Linked DNA regions of Neurospora crassa OR74A. The protein of the gene in region 3 binds, or shares a complex with, the protein of the main gene of each other region. Links are inferred from orthologs where the notes say so. Each region holds a gene or a part of one and is shown on either strand. Other genes may lie near its edges.

Region 1 (5,776 bases), on a different chromosome or scaffold from region 3:
CCCTTCTCCCCGCTAGGCAAGGTACTGTGATCTGACGATGCCCAATCTTTCAATGCGGACGAAATCTTCACCTGTCGTTATAGACCCGGATAAATCGACTGTGTGCCCAGATATTTCGGCGGTGTGGAACCTAACTAGCCAATGAGGTGTCATGGAATCCCAGCGGCTCAACTACCTCTACACTACACCAGCGTTCGCTATGGTCATTCTTACAATGCGATGCTTGCCTTGAGTTGCTTCTCAAGATGAGGGAGATAGAATTCGAAGGACTAAGAGATGGTGGTGGAAATGAGGCATTTGAAGCTAAGGATGCATAGAGACAAACGCGAGGCCAAGGTCGGAGACAGCCCGTTGGAAAGTACTACTCCTAGAGCCAAAGAGTAATACAACGGGAGCTCCAAAGTCAATACCAATTAGTTGCTCTAAGTTGTCGTTAATAGAAGGCGAGGAAGGGTAGGTGACTACGCGCAAAGTTAATGCCAATTGCCAAGTTCAAGGGTCTTGGCTTCTTGGCTTGGCTTGGTGCTCAGTTTGTATGGCCCCACACCGCCGAAATATCTGGGCACACAGTCGATTTATCCGGGTCTGTCGTTATGTGACGCCGAGGTTCGCCTGCGTTTACTGTGCCTGGGCGTGCCTGGTTGAACCTGGTCAATGGTCATGCTGTCTCACTCAAATATCACCATCAACGAGTCGCCGACCGTTGCATTCGGCACTTTGTCTTTCCATTACTACATCAAAGAACGGTTTCTCGCCTTCCCGACTACATACCTAGGTGATCATCCAGCGACCAGCGGCCTGTCTTGATATTACTTGACCTCACTTAGGTATCCGTTCTCGTTGCGCCTTACCGCCGCCATTGCTTCCACTGTCTCACGTGTATAGGCAATTTCATTCAACAACAACGTCCATTGACGAAGAGAAAACACAGAAAAGAGGTCAGGCCCAGATAGTACCAGCACATAAAACTCCATGGCCCCTGTCCGCCCAAACAATTCCGCCTCCGCACTAGCGCCGTCCACTCCCAACCCATCACTGTGATCCTTTCCCCCTGGCGGCCCTGAAACAATCCAGGTACGCTAGCCAATCCAGGTCCTGATTGGCCAGAAACCCTTAAAGACTCACAACTCCCGGCGCTTGCAGACGGCCATCGTTAACCAATCGGACAAGGGCTTCGGCTTGGTTGCCGCTGTACTACTCGTACCTAGTGTCCACTATCCAACGACGTCCGGAGTGTCCAGGGGTGTGAGTGTGATATGGTGAACATGGGATGGGGGTTTTTTTTTCAATTTTTTTTTTCAATTTTTTTCTTTTTTTCCCAACGACAAGTGAACATGATATGATGATCCTGTCTCCTTTGTGCTTTTGTGTGTGTGTGTGTGTGTGTGTGTGTAAATGAAGTTGGTTGATAAATACCATGTGGGCTTGGTCACTGTGACCGTGATGGTCACTTTCACTTTCTTTTTCATGTCTCTTCTATTGCGCTACCTACCTATCCTTACCAGACAAACGGACGGGCCATTCGATAGTGCGAAGGTATATAAGGTGATGTTATGCTTCTGTTCTGTCCCGCATCAAATGTGATGCCCCCCGAGTAGTAATAGTGATTGATGCTGGTGAGTGTGGCACACATTATTCGTTACGAGGTGTCATGCGGATAGCTTGACTCTCATATGCCTTGTTCGAATGGCTTCCTCCGTGAGATGGGGTGTTATCTTCGCTCTCCTTGGTATCCCTCTTTCAACCTTTCAGTGATTTGAGGATGGCTTGATGATTGCAGCCCTGGCGGGTTGTCTTTTGTTGCGCTGTCTTTTCCCCAGAAGTCATCGACGCTTTGCCAATGAGGTTAGCATGCTATTTTACTCTTCTTTCCTCCAGCTTGGGACAATCAGGCTCACGAGAATCCAGCTCCTCGATCGCGGTCTCCGTACCTCCTCAAAAATATTAGGCCATTCCAACTAATCCAGCATGTTGACGTTGCGTCTTGAGATGATCCTAGAATGACTGAAGCACTGACGTTGTCGATGTGGGGAATTCATCCAAAAAAAAAAAAAAAAAAAAAAAAAAAAAAAAAAAAAAAAAAAAAAAGTGACACTCACCGCCGACTCGAGCAGCAGCCACAAGCGTACCCGGATATGAAACCAAAGCCTCAGCAATATTGAGCTTGTGATGTAGCCCATGAGTCGAGCCATCAGTGTTGCCAACTCATGCTTATCTTTGTGAAAGACGCGCAAAGAACAAGAGTGACCTAGATACCAATTCGAAGTGAACCCTCTTCTCTCCTAGTGACCTAAGCTACCCACGCCACGCGCTGATTTTCATATGGACTCCACACTAAAGCAAAATGAGCCACCTCTGCTCTTAGCAGTGATGCCTTGAGAAAGCGGCCATTTGTGAATGAGTGCTGTTGTCGAGGTGCTTCAAGAACTGAGTGAACTGGTCGAAACAGCACATCGGTGCTTTCGCTTCGTCGCCTACCCTCCCAATAAGCTAATAGTACAAACGGACAGGTTTGTAATCCGTGCTTTGCAGAGCATAATGCTAATGCTCCTGTCCCCTCATGAATTCGTTCTCATCTTCATCGACACAATCCTCCTTCAAAATTAACTTTTTTCCCTTCACGTACCGACCCCAAAGAAAACCCCCCTCTTACACCCTCTCACTAACCCAAATGGCACCTCTGCACCCCGCCCTAATCACCCCCGTCAACAACCAGTGCGGCTCCGCCTTCTGCGCATCATGTTCAACCGCATGATCCAGGTGCTCCAGCTCCTCATCCCGTATCCTCCTCAACGTGTTGATCAGATGCCTGAACTCTGCGCCAACCTCATACCCCTCAGCCTCCCACTCGCTCACCATCTCCAGCAGCTTACGGATCTGGGCATTATAATGGCCGCCAATCTCCGTCTCTACCGCCTCGGTGCACGCCATGGCTGCCTCCTTGCCCAGCATGGCGGTGCCCCAGCCCAAGCCCGTGGCCATGACGGACCAAAGCGGGTACAGCGCCGTGGGCCGTACGCGGTGGCGGTAGATCAGGTCGTTGAAGGTGCGCAGATGCGCCGCCTCTTGGTCGTACATGTGCTTCATGAGCGGGCGCAGCGAGGGGTCCCGGGTTACGAGAGGCGGGGTCTGGCCCGTGTAGATGAGGGTGGCGGCGAGCTCGCCGGCCTGGTTTACGCGGAGGGCGGACGAGAGGAAGGCGCGCTGCTCGGCAGTGAGGGGTTTTTTACCCTTGGAAGAACTTGTCGACGACCTGGAGTTTGGTGGTGGTGGTGCTGGGTTGGTCTCGGGGGTTGTGGAGGGGCTGTGGACATGCGAGGAGCTGGTATCAGGCGAGACGGGGGAGGAGAAGAAGCGCGCGGCGCATTGCCGGACCTGTCTGGTGGCCACGAGGGCTGGCCTGGTTGCTGGACGAAGCATGATATGGGCTGTGACGGTCTTTTCGGTCTTGCGTGTTGGAGGAAGACTTGGGACGAGTTGGTGAAAGCTGATGTTGCACGGACCGGAGGCGGTTGTTGCGACGGAGTACAGTAAGCTCGGGGGAGATGCGCCGAGGCCGAGTGAAAGACGGGACCTCGAAAGTCGGCCCACTTACAAAATCACGGCGACCTCGAACGGGAAGCTCCATCGCTGAGTGCTCCACAGGGCTGCCTGCACATGCGATGACGTTGGTCAAGCCAAGGGTCAAAAGGACGACGGGACTCAATTCAATTGGGCTTTTGCCGGGCCGGCAACGGGCCTGATCTAACCTTTGGGCGGTGTGGAACTTTTGGGCGCCTTGACCACCACCACCACTCACCAACTCCCGTCACGCCAAGCACTGCCCCTGGACGTTGAAGTTGTCCGTCAGGTCGCGCACAAGCGGGTGGAGTTCCAGGTCGCGCCGCCCAAGTTCCATAAAGTAGGTACTTACCTTACCATCAGCCTAGACCAGACCCCATTGAATTCCTATTGATAACTGCTGGACAATAGGAGTTCACCTCCCTTCTACTTATACTAACCTTTCTCTCATCCCGCTTTGGACTTTCTTGTCGCCTCACTCATTCATCGCTCCCGTCGCCGCCTCAACACCACCCGATTGCATAACGACTTTTTGATTTTGGCGCATTGTTAACCCACAATTGGGAGAACATTGTTGGTTCCGATCATATCCACCAACAAGTGTTTGGAAGAATCAGTTCGGCCCTTCACTCGACGTATCCCGACATCGCGTTCGCCATCTGCACCCGACGGTTTTCCATCGAACCCTGCTTTGCGCAGCAGCCATTGCATAGCCCTAGCGCTTACAGCCACACAGAAGCAGCTTTATAAGAACCGACAGCCCGTGACAGACAAGCGACCATGTCAGACATCGACGACGAGTTGCTCGCCCTTGCAGGCGGTGACGCCTCCGATGACAGCGGAGATGAGGCTATGGACATGAGCAGGGACGATTCCCGCTCCCCGTCACCAGAACCGAGGAAGAAGGATACGTCTACCAGGGGAACGGCCAAGAAGTCAGTGGGAAGGAAACGTGCCAGAAGCGATGACGAGTCGGAGGACGAGGGCCAGGCGTGAGTGCTTGTCTTTCTTTTCCTTCACCCAGCTCTCAGGTAGCCCTAGGGCTGCCGTTCTACATGTCACCCATGCGCCACATCGACCTCAGCCTACAGCTCGCCTTTATCAACCCCTTCTGCTCCTCCTCTTGCCTCCTTCCCTTCTTGATTCCTCTCAATCACCCCGCCCACCATGCTGCTCAAGATGATGGTCAAGGCTAAACAACTTCTCTTCGGCAGCTCTCCGCCGGGATCCCCGGACTCCCAAGCTTCTGCCCCCATGGACGAATCAGACTCAGACTCAGATGCCTCGCCGGCGAGGCGTAGTGTTGACGATGAGGTGAACCAGTACCCTGTCGACGGTCTCTTCCGCGACTACGAAGAGAAGGAGCAGATCATGGGCATGCGTGAAATCGAGAGGGAACAGATTCTGGCCGAGCGTCGAGAGGAGAATGAACGTATCCGCCAGAACCGCATGCTTCGCCAGCTGAAGGTCAACCAAGAGAAGAAGCGCAAGGCAAGCCTAGCCGAGCTCGATGATTCGTCACGCAAGACATCACGGGCTCGCACCAAGGCCGACGACAAGATGGATTCTCTCCGGCGGGCCCGGGAGGAACGCTCCAACCGCAAGGAGCAGCGAGAGCGGGAAAATGACCGTCGTAAGCGTTCGCCTTCGTACCGACGCAGCCCCGGTCGTGGTGATGATAGCGACGTGGACTGGGATGGCCCGAGCAACAAGAAGCACAGATCTCGTTCGCCAGAGAGCAGAGAAAGCCCGCCTGCTGAGCTTCGGGACTTTGAGCGTGTTCGTGTTGGCCGCAGTCGCTTTGCCGAGGTTGCTTTCTACCCCGGCTTTGATGAAGCACTCACAGGATGCTTTGTTCGCCTGAATATTGGTCCCGATCCCGACACTCGCCAGGATGTCTACCGTATGGCTCTCATTAAGGGTAAGATCATTCCCGTTAGACCCTTGTTAAGCTGAGATGTCGTTTAACGCTCGGAATGCAGGTTTCACTACCGGTAAGGCATATGCCTTGGAAGATCATCAGGGTCACCAAATGGTCGTCGATATGTATGTCAAGGCTGCCCACGGTAAAGCCGTCAGGGAGTGGCCTTTGATCACATGTTCCGACCGAAAGTTTACAGAGGTATGCGTGCCTGTTCTTTCCTCGCTTGTCATCATCTCTAATCAGACCCTCAACAGGCCGAGTACAACCGTTACAAACAAGTCTGTCTTGCCG
Region 2 (6,686 bases), on a different chromosome or scaffold from region 3:
CACCGTTCTGCCCCCTCGAGTACCTAGCCGCTCAATCCTCGCCCTGCTCTCTAGCCCGAGTCATCGCATCCATGAACCTTTCTGCCATCTCCGCTTCATTGGACACCAAGCCAGCGACGAGGGAGAATCCCGTTGGTGTGCAACCGGCTGTTTCTCTGGATGGCGAGGACGATGGCAGGCCAGGAATGGACCAAGTAGACGAGCGCTACCGCGTCGCGCTTGTTCACTGGCTGCAAAGCAATTCGTTGCTGCCCAAGCTGCGGGACGCGCAAGAGAGCTTGGACCCGGCGCCGGAGGGGACGAGTGACCAGGAGAAGCTGGCGTTGGCGATGACGTTGAGGGATTGTACCTGTTTTGTGAGAATATCGGAAGACTCGAAGGCAGGCTTGAAGGTGGAAGCCAAGCTGGCGGATTTGGATAAGAAGAATTGGGAGGCTAAGTTGGAGTATTGGAAGGGGATGGATGAGGTGTTGAAAGAGGGGGGGTATTATGAGGGGGTGGAGGTGCCGAGGATCCGGACGAGGTGTTTCATGGAGGTTGGGGCAGGGGAGGCGGCCTGAGAGTTTATGCCATTGATGTTGTCATGGGCTTTCAAGGGAGATGGATGGGCACTTGTAATGGTGATGGTTCGGTGCCGTGCTGGCCTTGAACAACCCTAAATGATGAACGATAAAGCGCCGTTTTTCCTTACCCAACACTAGCAATGCAATTTGTGACACCCTGGCTGTTTAGCACCCATGAACGCCACAACTCCCTTTACTCAACATAATCCGGATCAGATGCCACACGGGAACGCCGCCTCCGAGCTGCCTTCTGCGCTGAACGCTCCTCGACTTCCTTCTAGGGAGCCTTAGCGCTCTCCGCCCTCAGTGCCTCCAGCCGTTTCTGCTTCTTCTCCAACTCCTCCATCATCTGCTTCTTCATCTCATCCACCTTTAGCTTCGCCTCCTTGAGCTTCTGAATCTCCAACTGTTCCGTCTCCCGACTGAACGGCTGCCCGGGTCTATTAACCAGAGGGATCATCGCGCTCCTCTCCAGCACGCCTCCCTCGGACTTTTGTATCACGAACGGCTCCTCTTTTGACTCGTTATTGTTCTTCCCGTCCTTGTTCGTGCTCACACTAGCCCGCGAGTGACTCCTCTCGTGCCCTTTCTTATTTCCGCCCTTGCTGCTGCTCGCCCCGGGCGTGTTCGCACTGGTCGGCGTCGCGGCGCCACTACCGCCGCCGCCGCCGCCGTCTTTCAGTGTTGAAGCCGATGGCGGGAGGGCGCCGGAGATGAGGATATCGTAAAAGGGCTCGTAGGGTTCGTTGAAGATCTGTTCCTCGTATACCCAGGAAATGACCTCGCCGCCGTTGAGGCGCATAGCCTCCTTCTCTTCTTCGGTGCGGCCGAATGGGTGCAGGCGCAGATGGTGATAGAGCGTTTGAGGCTTCTCGGAGGATTCGGGGACGTAGTACAGCTTCATGGTGATTTCGAACTCACCCCAGCCGGTCTCGTGTATTTGGAAGGGTTGGCCTTTGACCCCTTCTACCACTGGACGGAGGGACACGGTTGATTAGCTTAGGTCGAAGGGGATGGAGGGAGGTTTGAGAACCGGAGGTAGGGACGTACTTCGAACATGGTTTGGAATGGACTCGTGAAGCTTAAACTGAACGCGCCGAAGCCAGTACGTAATGTCCACATCGTCGATGCCCTTGATGAAAACGGTCCAGGAGTGCGTGTGATCATCTGGAATGCCGGGTGGTTTGGGGTTGGTCTTTTCGTCGAAGGGCCGTGCTGTTGTTCCGTAAACGAAGGGTCGAAATATTTGAACGCCCTTGACACGCTTGCCTGTAGGTGGTGCCATCTTGTTTGGCGGTGATGGTTATGGATAGGTTGAAGCTGTTCGAAGTGTGGAGATTCGCGCTGTTTCGCGGTGGTTTCGACAGACGCGGTAGGCCAACTGGTAAAGCTATAGCTATAGCGATATAGCTGGGCAAACGCAAGTCGTTTATCAGACCTGAATACGACTAGATGACTGTGTACGGGAGGCGTGATTCTTGAAGAAGTGAAGATGGCGCAAAGAGAACAAAATGATGATTACAGGATTACAAAAGTGCCACCACCAGCAAGGTACCTGCATGAAGGATGGAGAAAAAAGTTGGGTGTGTTCCAGCCTTGAATGCGGGGCAGAGAAGCCCAACTGCTAAGGTTCCCTTTCCCTCCGGGGTTTAGCGGACCCTTGGCGCTGCTAATTTATCGAAAGACATCAGTGCCACCCTTGTAGATGATTGTTCGATAAGGATTTTTCGAGTCTGGATAACGGATCGAGGCTCTCCATGATGCAATCGTCTGGGGTTTCGATTGTTTACTTCTGCGGAGAGAAAATCGGAGAGGAAACCTGGAAGCATAACCTAGTTTGCCGAGAAAGAGTCTGATAAACATAAAAAGAACCTGACCAGCCAATGTGTTTGAGCTACCTATTCTTGAGATAATATCCTTCTTCCCAAGCTCTCACCCTCAAGCAAGCTTCCATCATGTCGTCCGCCGCAAAGAAGCTTATCGTCGCCGGAGGCAACGGTTTCCTCGGCTCCAGGATCTGTCAGGCGGCTGTCCACAGAGGATGGGATGTGACATCAATTAGGTATCATACTCCAACACTATCCTCCATAGCTTATCATTCCACCCTTTACAAATGGATGAACTGACCACCTCTTCTACGTCCAGTCGCTCCGGCCAACCGAACTGGTCTTCCGTATCCGCCTCCCCCTCCGCTCCCTCCTGGTCGACCGCCGTTTCCTGGGAGCGCGCTGACATCTTCCGCCCCGCCGAGTGGATTGCCCTCCTGAACGGTGCTGACTATGTCGTCCATTCTCTGGGCATCCTCCTCGAAGCCGACTACAAGGGCGTCATCTCCGGTCGGGAATCTCCTATTGCAGGCCTCCAGAAGGCCTTCTCGCCCCGTCACACCCCAAACCCGCTCCAGCGTCGTCCCGATGACGAGCTCCGTCCTCCGACCAACGCGAACCAGTTGACCTACGAGATGATGAACCGCGATAGCGCCATCCTGCTCGCCAAGGAGGCCGCTAACAAAGGCGTTAAGGGCTTTGGATACATCTCGGCTGCGGGAGGAGCGCCCGTGTTGCCGAGCAGGTATATCTCAACCAAGAGGGAGGCTGAGGACGTGATCGCGCGGGAGTTTCCCGACATGCGGAGTGTATTCTTCAGGCCGCCATTCATGTACGACAGCTCGCGGCCTGTGACGATGCCGCTGGCGGCGATGACCATGGCGGGAAGTATCTTCAACGGGGCCACAGGAGGAGTGCTATCAGACTTCTTGGGGAGTGCGGGGACGAAGCCTCTCAAGGCAGATCTGGTTGCGGAGGCGGTGGTGGAAGGATTGGACGATACAGCGGTTAAAGGGGCAGTTGAGGTCCCCGAGCTGGAGACTTTGGCGAACAAGGGTTGGAGGAGAACTATGCTTTGAGAGCAAAAAATCGGCTCAAATGGTCTGTATTTTACCTGAATCATAACCTTGGCAATGTATAAAACGATGATGCTTGACATATAAAAACCAATAATCAATCCTTCAACGCCGTTTCCTCTTCGCACGAAGCCCAGAGTTACCCTAAACCATGGTTCCTCTCTCAAAGCTGTCCCTAATCTCTGCCGTGTACTTGTTATAGAACCTCGACAGCTTCTGGTTGAACTGCTTGTTCTTCTCGTTGATGTACGTGACGTCCGCGTCGTCGCCGTTGTTCGCCATGCGCTCCCTCCTTTTCTTAAGGCTGGCCTCCTCGGCCTTGCGCATATCGGCCACCAGTCGATCAACGGCCGCCTTGTCGGGCTTGTGTTGTGCGAACTGCGTCGAGTCTGCCGTGCTAAAGAAGGTGCCGTCCTTGTCAATCGCAATCATCTCTCCATCCTCTGTCTCAACAATCTCCAATGTGCCAGCCGCCGCAGCCTTTTCGATCGCCGCCAACTTTTCGCGCGTGTACCTCTCCAGATCGGGGCCTCCCATGTTGCGCAGTTGCCGCTTGTAGGACTTTTCGGCTTGTTGGTTGTAGTCGCGGAAGGCAGTGTCATCGCGGTGCGCCTCCTTCTTTTTCATGCGCTTGTCCCACCGCTCTGATTCCTCGACCGTCCAGTCCCAAGCCCGCTTGCGCTCAAAGTCGCCCCCGGCATCTTCAATGTCGGCTTTCAGCAGCTTGTGGGAGGCAATCGCGTGGCGACGGCCGAGGGCAGTGAGTTGACTAGGGTCGCTCTGGAGGCGCTGGGATTCTTTGGTGGCTTTTTTGAGATTTTGCTGCGAGGATGACTTGGCGCGGGCTTGGAGGGCACGGAAACGCTCGGCACGCTCGCGAGCTTTGGCGGCCGCAGACTCTGCAGCAGAGGTGGATGTGGGTGGAGTTGACGAGGACTGAGATGTTGCTGCGGTGTCAGGTTGTGCGGTCTCCGAGGCTGATAGAACCGGTGGTGATGAAGATGACGTCGTTGCGAGCGCTGCTTCTGTGACCGATGGCTCCTCCTTGGAATCGGTCACGGTCTGATTATTTGGCTCTGTCGTGGACTCGGCGACGTCGTTTTCTTGTTGAGTGACTTCTGCCTTGTCTTCGGGCTCGGTCTTTCTTTTCTTTTCAGGAGGCATTTTCAATAGACTTCGTTTTGTTGAGATGTGTTGTGTGGGTAAGTAGTTGTGTGGTGTGAAATCCGGATTGTGTCAATGAAGCGGAAAGAAAACAGCCTCTCTGAAGCTGCTGTGCTGTGCCTGGGCTGGTCTGGACGCTAGGGCCAGTGCCTGGCAAGACGGAAAGTGGAATGCTGAGCAAGCCTTTCTACAGCGATTGTATACGATAGAGTGATGCATAAGTGGGCCGTGAGAGCCTGTCTTTTAGGTTTAGCGCCGATCATTACAGGACATTTACTACAGTCAAGTCTGTATATAACGATATGAGGTATAACGATATCGTGTAAATAACGATCAATTTCACTGCCACCGTTCCAGTTGTATAGTGATTTCAGCAGTATAACGATATACAGTCAAGTCTGTATATAACGATATGTGCTTACCCCTTGGATTTGATCGTTGTTCCTAGATCATTACAACCTTTAGTAGTACTAAGTATACTAAGACTGATTCGAATAGGTACTTGGGTACCAAAAAGCAATAGTTAAAGTATAGCCAAAGGATGAGTTGGAAATATTTCCTATATCTACCACCTAATAGGTATAACGATCACTATACAAATTGAGCCTGAATATTAATTGTAATCGCAATACGGAATATATTGTTATACTGCTGAAATCACCATACAACTGGAACGGTGGCAGTGAAATTGATCGTTATTTACATGATATTGTTATACCTTATATCGTTATGTACAGACTTGATTGTATTCCGTATTGCAATTACGATTAATATTCAGGCTCAGTTTGTATGGTGATTGTTATACCTATTAGGTGGTAGATATGGAAATATTCCCAACTCATCCTTTGGCTGTACCTTAACCACTGCTTTTTGGTACCCAAGTACCTGTTCGAGTCAGTCTTGGCGTGCTTGGCACTACTGAAGGTTGCGATAATCTGGGAATAACGATCAAATCCAAGGGGTAAGCACATATCGTTATGTACAGACTTGACTGTAGCGGCTTTCTAGCGCTCCTTCCCCAGATTTTGCAGACAGCGCCAAGAGGGGGGAGTTGAACGTCTCGGCCCGCCTCGTACCTTCTCCGTGCCGTCTTCGACCAGATTGAACTTGCACTCTTGACCATAAAGTACCTTTGTACCTGTTACACAGAACACGGCATCGCAACCAATATGAAAGGAATATTAGGCAGACCGGTCGAGGAGATGAGGAGAAAATGGAAGGCACCGCGGGCGGGTGCAACCGGTCAAGAGGGAAGGAGGGTTTACTTGACTGATTGATGGTTCACCGAGTGCTCTCCTTCTCTCCGTCACCCTCTTGCCCTATGCCCTATGCCGCCAGCTTCGCACATCCAATACTCACCTTGTGTTTCTTCACAGTTCAAGTTGGTGACACAAAGTCCAGCCTCGTTTCCTCCCAATCACAGCAGTTCCCAGCCGCCAGTAACGCCTACAGTCGTCGCGTATCTTGTCGGGTAAGGCTGGATCGCCAACTCTCACGCGCAAGTGGACGACAAGCATGATACCTTATCGGAGGTGGTGCTGGCCTGCATTATCTTGGCTTCAGCTAGTCACAATATCCTCACCAAGATGGCACCTTCGGGCATTTCAGCCAGTCCAGGTTTCGGCCGCCTACTCCATAATGCCCAAAAGGAAGAAGAAAGAGAAAACCACAGGGAGCTGGGTTGACGTTGATGACACCTTTTTCACCTCGAATTCTCAAAAATCCGGGGACATCCAGGGAGTCGAAGCTGGACTGGATGAGCCTCAAGTGGAAAGCCCAAGAGTCCGCAGAAAGGAGATGCGGGAGCTTAGGAACCGGTACTTTTGGAAGCACTGGGTGCAAAAGCACCCAAACTACGTCTGGAATAGGGCTGGTCGCAGAGATCAACAAAGGTCCACGATCAACAAAGATGGACTTCATACAAAGACCAATGATGAGAGTGTTGTCAACTATCCCGAAACTGAAGCTGAAAGAAGACAGGAGAGAGTCAACCTCTGGAATACGTGGGTTATGAACCACCCGACTTTCAAGCACAGCAAATTCGGCCAATTAAGAAG
Region 3 (5,545 bases):
CGAACGACGGGTGCCGGGTAGTTGTCAGCTGGAAGAAGAGAACGGCAGCAAACATGTCCAGAGGAGGGAGCGAAAACTTTGGGGCTCGAAGAGGCCTCGGAGAGAATGATTCCACGACCCTTCGGCATGAACACAGATCGGAGTTCAACAGCCAGCACGAGGACACTTCAGGAAAACATCCGGTTCCGCGACGACCACCGTGCAATGACAGATACGCAGTCGCTAAACAAACCGCACAGTCAGCATCCACGCCGGCAATCGAATCAACATACATGTTTCGTCGTGCGATGGTCAAGTTGAGCTGTCCATCTATATTCCCAGCCTGCGACACAACCCTCGGTTTTTCTGCTGTCCCACTCTCCTCTCCTCCCTCCCCAAAAACCCGGGCAGTCTTCACCTCTCAGCCCTCAAGCTCCTTCAAAGCCCTATCAACCATCCTCTTCACCTGCATCCACCTCATCGACAACAGCCCTCTATGACACTCCCTCCCCACTACACCTTCATGTCCCTCCCTCCACTCCAACTTATCCAACCCGTCCCGAATCTTCTTCTCAATAGCATCTGAGCTCCAACGCTTAAGCGCTTGTGCCAGCAATGCATTCAGCTTCGCTTGTTCCTCCAGCGATTCCTCCCACGGGTCTTGGCCGTAGTCGATGAAGGCCCGGAACTTCTTTTCACCTTGCGGCCCTGCGCTGTCTGCGAGAGCGGCAAGGGCGCGAAGTGCGACCTGTGTGCGGTAGCAGCCTGTGGGGTTGCGCGGATCGAGATTGTAGTTGCCTAGGAAGCCGGTTTCCTCGAGGACTTCTTTGGGGGATTTTGGTGGTTGCTGTTGGGACGCTTGTGGCTTGAGGTCTTTTTTGCCTCGTTCGTTGAGTCTTCGAGTTACTTTCCTTGGTGGTTGCTGCTGCTGCTGTTGTTGGGATTGGGAGTGGGTTTGGGCTTGGTCGAGTAAAGGAAGGATGGCATCATCTATGCAGACTTCGTCCCAGACATTTTCGTCAAAGAGAAAGCCATATTCGATCAGGAGGAAATCGTTGGAGTGGTTGCCGTAACAGATGTAAACTTCTTCGCCGGCGGCGTAAGGGCGGGTGGTGGTGATGGTAAAGGCGGTCGGTGAGAAGGCGACTGAGCAGGTTTTCTTGTTGCCTTCCTTCTTCTCGGCTGATGGGTCGTAGGAGGTGTGGTTAAACAAGTCTGCGACTGGTTGCAGGACCATTCTGTCATCTTTATTGAACTTCTTCGTCTTTGGAGTTTCATGGTAGAAGGTGCGGGTGTTGACGAGGAGCCAGGCATAGAGGTAGTCATCTCTTGTTATGCTCTTATTCAGTGTTCCGCAATCTTCCTCTTCCAAGCTCTTGTTCTCTTTCTTGCCAGGCCCTGAAGAGAGGAGCTTAGACTGTTGGACCATGGACCAGTCCTTCTCAAATTTGGCCTCCTGTTTTAGAAGTAACTCCAGCGCCTTTCTGGGCAGAAACTGTCGTAGTCGGTGATCCCATGTTAGAGGCAAATAGTCCCACATATCTTTACGCGAAGGACAGACGGCGTTCCATTGCCGATACTTGGCGGACGGAGAAGGGTCGAAGGCAAGATCGGCGGCTAGGAGGCCGTGGATGGATATGTCCTTAGGCAGGGCACGGGATATGGAAGGGTGGACGGTTTCATACGTCCGGAGGGTGGTAGAGGGAACTGTTAGAATAGTTTCATCTTCCTGATGATATTGTTAGTTGATTTGAACCAATAGTCCAACATGATGAGAATGACTTACCTCGAGTGGCTTTGTAGCCACTATTCCCATACCTCGGCCTGGTATCCGTCTAGGCTCGACGCCGTTGAGGATGATACCTCTATCTTTTGCCCATATGAGCAGTTCTTCGTATGCTTCCATATCGGATGCTTCTATCTGATCTTCTTCTCGGGTGTTCCTCTTCCCAACCTTCTCCTTTGCTGCTGCTTCGCGTTTTCTTTTTGCCATTTTGATCAGATACTGTGTAAACGTGATACAGTTGGGGAGTAACCAAAAGAGTCACGTATTTGCAACAAAACTTAGGTGTAGGAAAATCAATAGGTGAAGGCCAAAGAGTGATAGAAGATGATGTGTATTAAACCAGTGAAGTGTAAGTGAGAGTGAAAACAAAGGCATAAATCCCAGGGTGTCACTGCATCCTGTCAAGCAACCGGCTGAAACCTTCCACCTGTTCCAATTTCTCGCCTACATACCTGTTTCTAGAGACTATGGATCTCGATCAGAGGTCTTGGATGGAAGCTTGATTTCCTCTTTGGGAGTTGTTTGAGCGGGACTGGTTACACTAGCCCTTGCATAGGTCTAAGATGGGGTTCAAGTGGTCGTCAAGAAAGAGTGAACTGAAGTGAAAGTTACGCAATTGTCCTGTGCAACGTATTTTACGGTATTTATCATCCCCCACGGTGAGTTGGCATACCTCGACTTTCACCGAGCAGGAGCTCCCCTCACCTTGAGCTAGAGGTACCGCGGCCCCTACGTAAGTCCTTATCGCTGTCGTTATCGCAGTTGTTACATGCTCGGTTTCCGCATCCGAACGGATCGAACCACCACTTGCAACTTGACAACCACTCGAGCTCTGGAGGAATTGCGCGTTCCTCGTCCATCTCCATCTCTACTCCAACCCTAGGGCTTCCTCCTGGTTGTTCGAATTGCGCTTGACAATGGAAGTGACGGCCCTCAGACGATCCGCGGCTCTAGTAGCTCGCGCCAGCAGCCAGAATGCAATCCGGCCTGCCGTATGCGCCGCCATCAGCAGCACATCACCAACACCACCGACCCAGATCCAGACACAGCAAACAAGACAATTCTCGGCCCTTAACCGCCCACCACCAAACTACCCTGGCCATGTCCCTCTCACCCGCCTCGAGCGCTTCGGCCTCTTCGTCGGCTCAGGCCTCATCTCCCTCGCCGACCCCCTGCGCGGCGGTCCGTTTCGTCCCCGTCCATCTCCCACCACCTAGTCTCCTGTCCAACTAAACTAATCACCCTCTTGATATTCCCACAGACCTAATAGCCTCCTTCGCCGAAGCCACCGCAACGCCCTACTTCATCTACCGCCTGCGCGACGCCATGCTGTCCCACCCCACGGGACGTCGCATCCTGCGCCAACGACCGCGCATCACCTCCCAATCTCTCAACATCCCTTACCTGCGTTCCCTGCCGCCCAACACCGTCGGACGAACCTACATTGACTGGCTCGACCGCGAAGGGGTATCTCCCGATACGCGCTCGGCGGTGCGGTACATCGACGACGAGGAGTGCGCATACGTGATGCAGCGGTACCGCGAGTGCCACGATTTCTACCACGCTTTGACGGGCTTGCCGATCGTCCGGGAGGGCGAGGTGGCGCTGAAGGCGTTTGAGTTTGCGAATACCCTGTTGCCGATGACGGGGTTCAGCGTTTTCGCGGCGTTCACGATGAAGAAGAGCGAGCAGAAGCGGTTTAGGAAGATTTACTTCCCCTGGGCAGTTAAGAATGGACTGCGGGCCAAGGAGGTGATTAACGTCTTTTGGGAGGAGGAGTTGGAGCGGGATGTAAATGATTTGAGGAGGGAGTTGGGCGTGGAACCGCCGCCGGATCTGAGGGAGATCAGGAAGCGGGAGAGGGAAGAGAAGAGGAGGAGAAAGGAGATGGAACGGATGCTGAGCGGGCGCGGGACAGAGGACGTCATCCAGAAGGCGGAGAAGGAAGCTGAAGTGGTGGCGGAACGGGTGAAGGAGATGAGGAATGAGGTGGTTGAGAAGGTTGGCGAGGTTGTCGGGTCTTCGGCTATGAGAGGATAGACGGATCGTGGGGCATCGATGGGGGTATGATGGACCCGATCACCTCTGTGAAACTAATGTAGAACATATTGTATTCCCAGCTTCAGCGAATTTATGACAACGCCTCTTTGACTCCATCTCGTTCGTGCTCCCAAACTTGGATATGGACTATCGTGTCCTCATGTCATTCATAAGAAAGCGATAATCCCATTAAAAACCGTTAGGGCCATAGAACTCCTTCGTTCCCCCTTTCTCCCAGGTATATCACTCTGTCCCAACCCATTGTCCCACCTACAAATCAAACAAATCATCATCATCATCATCCAACCCCCACCCCTTCCTCCTCGTCACTACAATCTTCTCCGCCTCCTTGTTATCCGCCACGGCGTTCAGCAGCTCCTTGAGCTGCTCTTCCGTCACTTTCGAGCGGAGCTGCCCCGTCTGCGCCAGCATCATCAGCCGGTTCTCAATGTCGGTCGCGCGCTCCTCCTTGACGAGTCGGATGCGGCCCAGCCGATCGGCGGCTTCGGGCATGAGGATCTGGTTGAGCATGGCTTTGCGGGCTTCGGCTTCTTGTCTGTTTGTAGGAAAGAAAAGAGGAGGTGCTGTCAGCATTTGCAAAGGGAGAGGTGGGGGCGCGGGACGGGAACATGACGGAGAGGCCGTAACTTACTGTCTAGAAGCTTCCTGACCACCTTGCCCACCGGCGCCAGAGGGACCACCGGCCTTGGGACCACCACCGCCGCCGCCGCCTTGCGCCTTGAGCTGTTCAAGACGGGCCTTCCTGATCTGTCCAAAAGTAAAAGTGTTAGTACCTATAAATCGTGTTGTTACTGTATACAGCCATCAAGGTGTAATTCGTGCGCCGCATCTGTGAATGTCTGTCGATGCTACCATGGGCTGGCGGGAAAATGGAGATGGGATGCGCACCTTCTCGAGCTCAGAGTCATCCATCTTTGACGAGTTGGTTGGATTCGCGGTAGGTTGGCGACTAGCTTAAGGGTTGGAGAAATGGTTCTTGAGTGTTTGAAGTGTGGTAAAGCGCTTGGTTTGCTGTAGGAGGTTTAGGTTGTTGCGATGATGGACGGAAGGGAAGCACGGCGATCGCGGGGTTGCTTGGGGTCTTGAGGGAAGTTTTTAGTGGGGCAGGCATAGCGATAAGTTACGTAGGTAGCGGATCTGATCAGGGTCACAATAGGGGTATTGCAACGGTATTGTTTACACAGCAGCATCTAGAATACCAGTTGCTGGAGGCACCTCGAACACCACAGGGGCAGGATTGGTGACAGACGAAAAGTCAAGACAACGCGGCCAATGCCGGGCAGAAAAGGGGTACACTTGAGCACAGTATTAGACCGGATCTTCATAATGCCATGCTATTCATATGCAAAACTAAAAATATAGGTATGTACAGGATGATCCGTCTCCAAAAACCACGACCACTTCCGCCATAACACCTTTTATCGCCATAATTCTGTTTATCCGTCTATATATGCAGTAAATATTGGTCATACGACCCCGTGATCTATACATCATCTAATCTTGTTGAGAATATTTTTGAGAGGCATGGGCCAGAGCCTGTCGGGATAATGGGTATACGGCTCCGGAACATGAGGAACAAGTTTCGGCTGATAAGGAACCTCGAACGGAATCTCCCTCTTCCTCCTCTCTGCCAAAACCTTCTGCTTAGCCTTGACGGCTGACCAGATACTGTCAAGAGCGTTCACGGAAAGACCGAGTGTCTTGCCGCGCATGACGAAA

The links.
Region 1: NCU02157 (region 3) and NCU03957 share a complex: the UniProt entries of both Saccharomyces cerevisiae proteins name them as parts of the multi-subunit COQ enzyme complex. The link is inferred for Neurospora crassa OR74A from reciprocal best matches to the Saccharomyces cerevisiae genes COQ4 and CAT5.
Region 2: NCU02157 (region 3) and NCU00360 share a complex: the UniProt entries of both Saccharomyces cerevisiae proteins name them as parts of the multi-subunit COQ enzyme complex. The link is inferred for Neurospora crassa OR74A from reciprocal best matches to the Saccharomyces cerevisiae genes COQ4 and COQ11.

Annotation. Positions count from the first base shown.
Region 1 is NC_026506.1:2,239,457-2,245,232, reverse strand, and holds NCU03957 (COQ7), read right to left. Parts: upstream 3,695-5,776; 5' UTR 3,421-3,694; coding exon 2,650-3,420; 3' UTR 2,142-2,649; downstream 1-2,141. Other genes in the region: NCU03956 (hypothetical protein), read left to right, coding at 4,342-4,553, 4,776-5,482, 5,544-5,683, 5,740-5,776. UniProt on the Saccharomyces cerevisiae protein: Catalyzes the hydroxylation of 2-hexaprenyl-3-methyl-6-methoxy-1,4-benzoquinol (DMQH2) during ubiquinone biosynthesis.
Region 2 is NC_026503.1:3,573,249-3,579,934, forward strand, and holds NCU00360 (NAD dependent epimerase/dehydratase), read left to right. Parts: upstream 1-2,302; 5' UTR 2,303-2,518; coding exon 2,519-2,625; intron 2,626-2,708; coding exon 2,709-3,468; 3' UTR 3,469-3,609; coding exon of another isoform or gene 3,610-4,629; 3' UTR 4,630-4,672; downstream 4,673-6,686. Other genes in the region: NCU00358 (hypothetical protein), read left to right, coding at 1-560; NCU00359 (YEATS family protein), read right to left, coding at 841-1,535, 1,614-1,848; NCU00361 (pre-mRNA-splicing factor syf-2), read right to left, coding at 3,610-4,629; NCU00362 (hypothetical protein), read left to right, coding at 6,145-6,686. UniProt on the Saccharomyces cerevisiae protein: Component of MIOREX complexes, large expressome-like assemblies of ribosomes with factors involved in all the steps of post-transcriptional gene expression. Component of a multi-subunit COQ enzyme complex required for coenzyme Q biosynthesis.
Region 3 is NC_026501.1:1,054,276-1,059,820, forward strand, and holds NCU02157 (COQ4), read left to right. Parts: upstream 1-2,552; 5' UTR 2,553-2,682; coding exon 2,683-2,947; intron 2,948-3,026; coding exon 3,027-3,805; 3' UTR 3,806-3,921; downstream 3,922-5,545. Other genes in the region: NCU02158 (hypothetical protein), read right to left, coding at 401-1,708, 1,766-1,972; NCU02156 (dsDNA-binding protein PDCD5), read right to left, coding at 4,076-4,361, 4,458-4,573, 4,715-4,738; NCU02155 (hypothetical protein), read right to left, coding at 5,317-5,545. UniProt on the Saccharomyces cerevisiae protein: Lyase that catalyzes the C1-decarboxylation of 4-hydroxy-3-methoxy-5-(all-trans-hexaprenyl)benzoic acid into 2-methoxy-6-(all-trans-hexaprenyl)phenol during ubiquinone biosynthesis.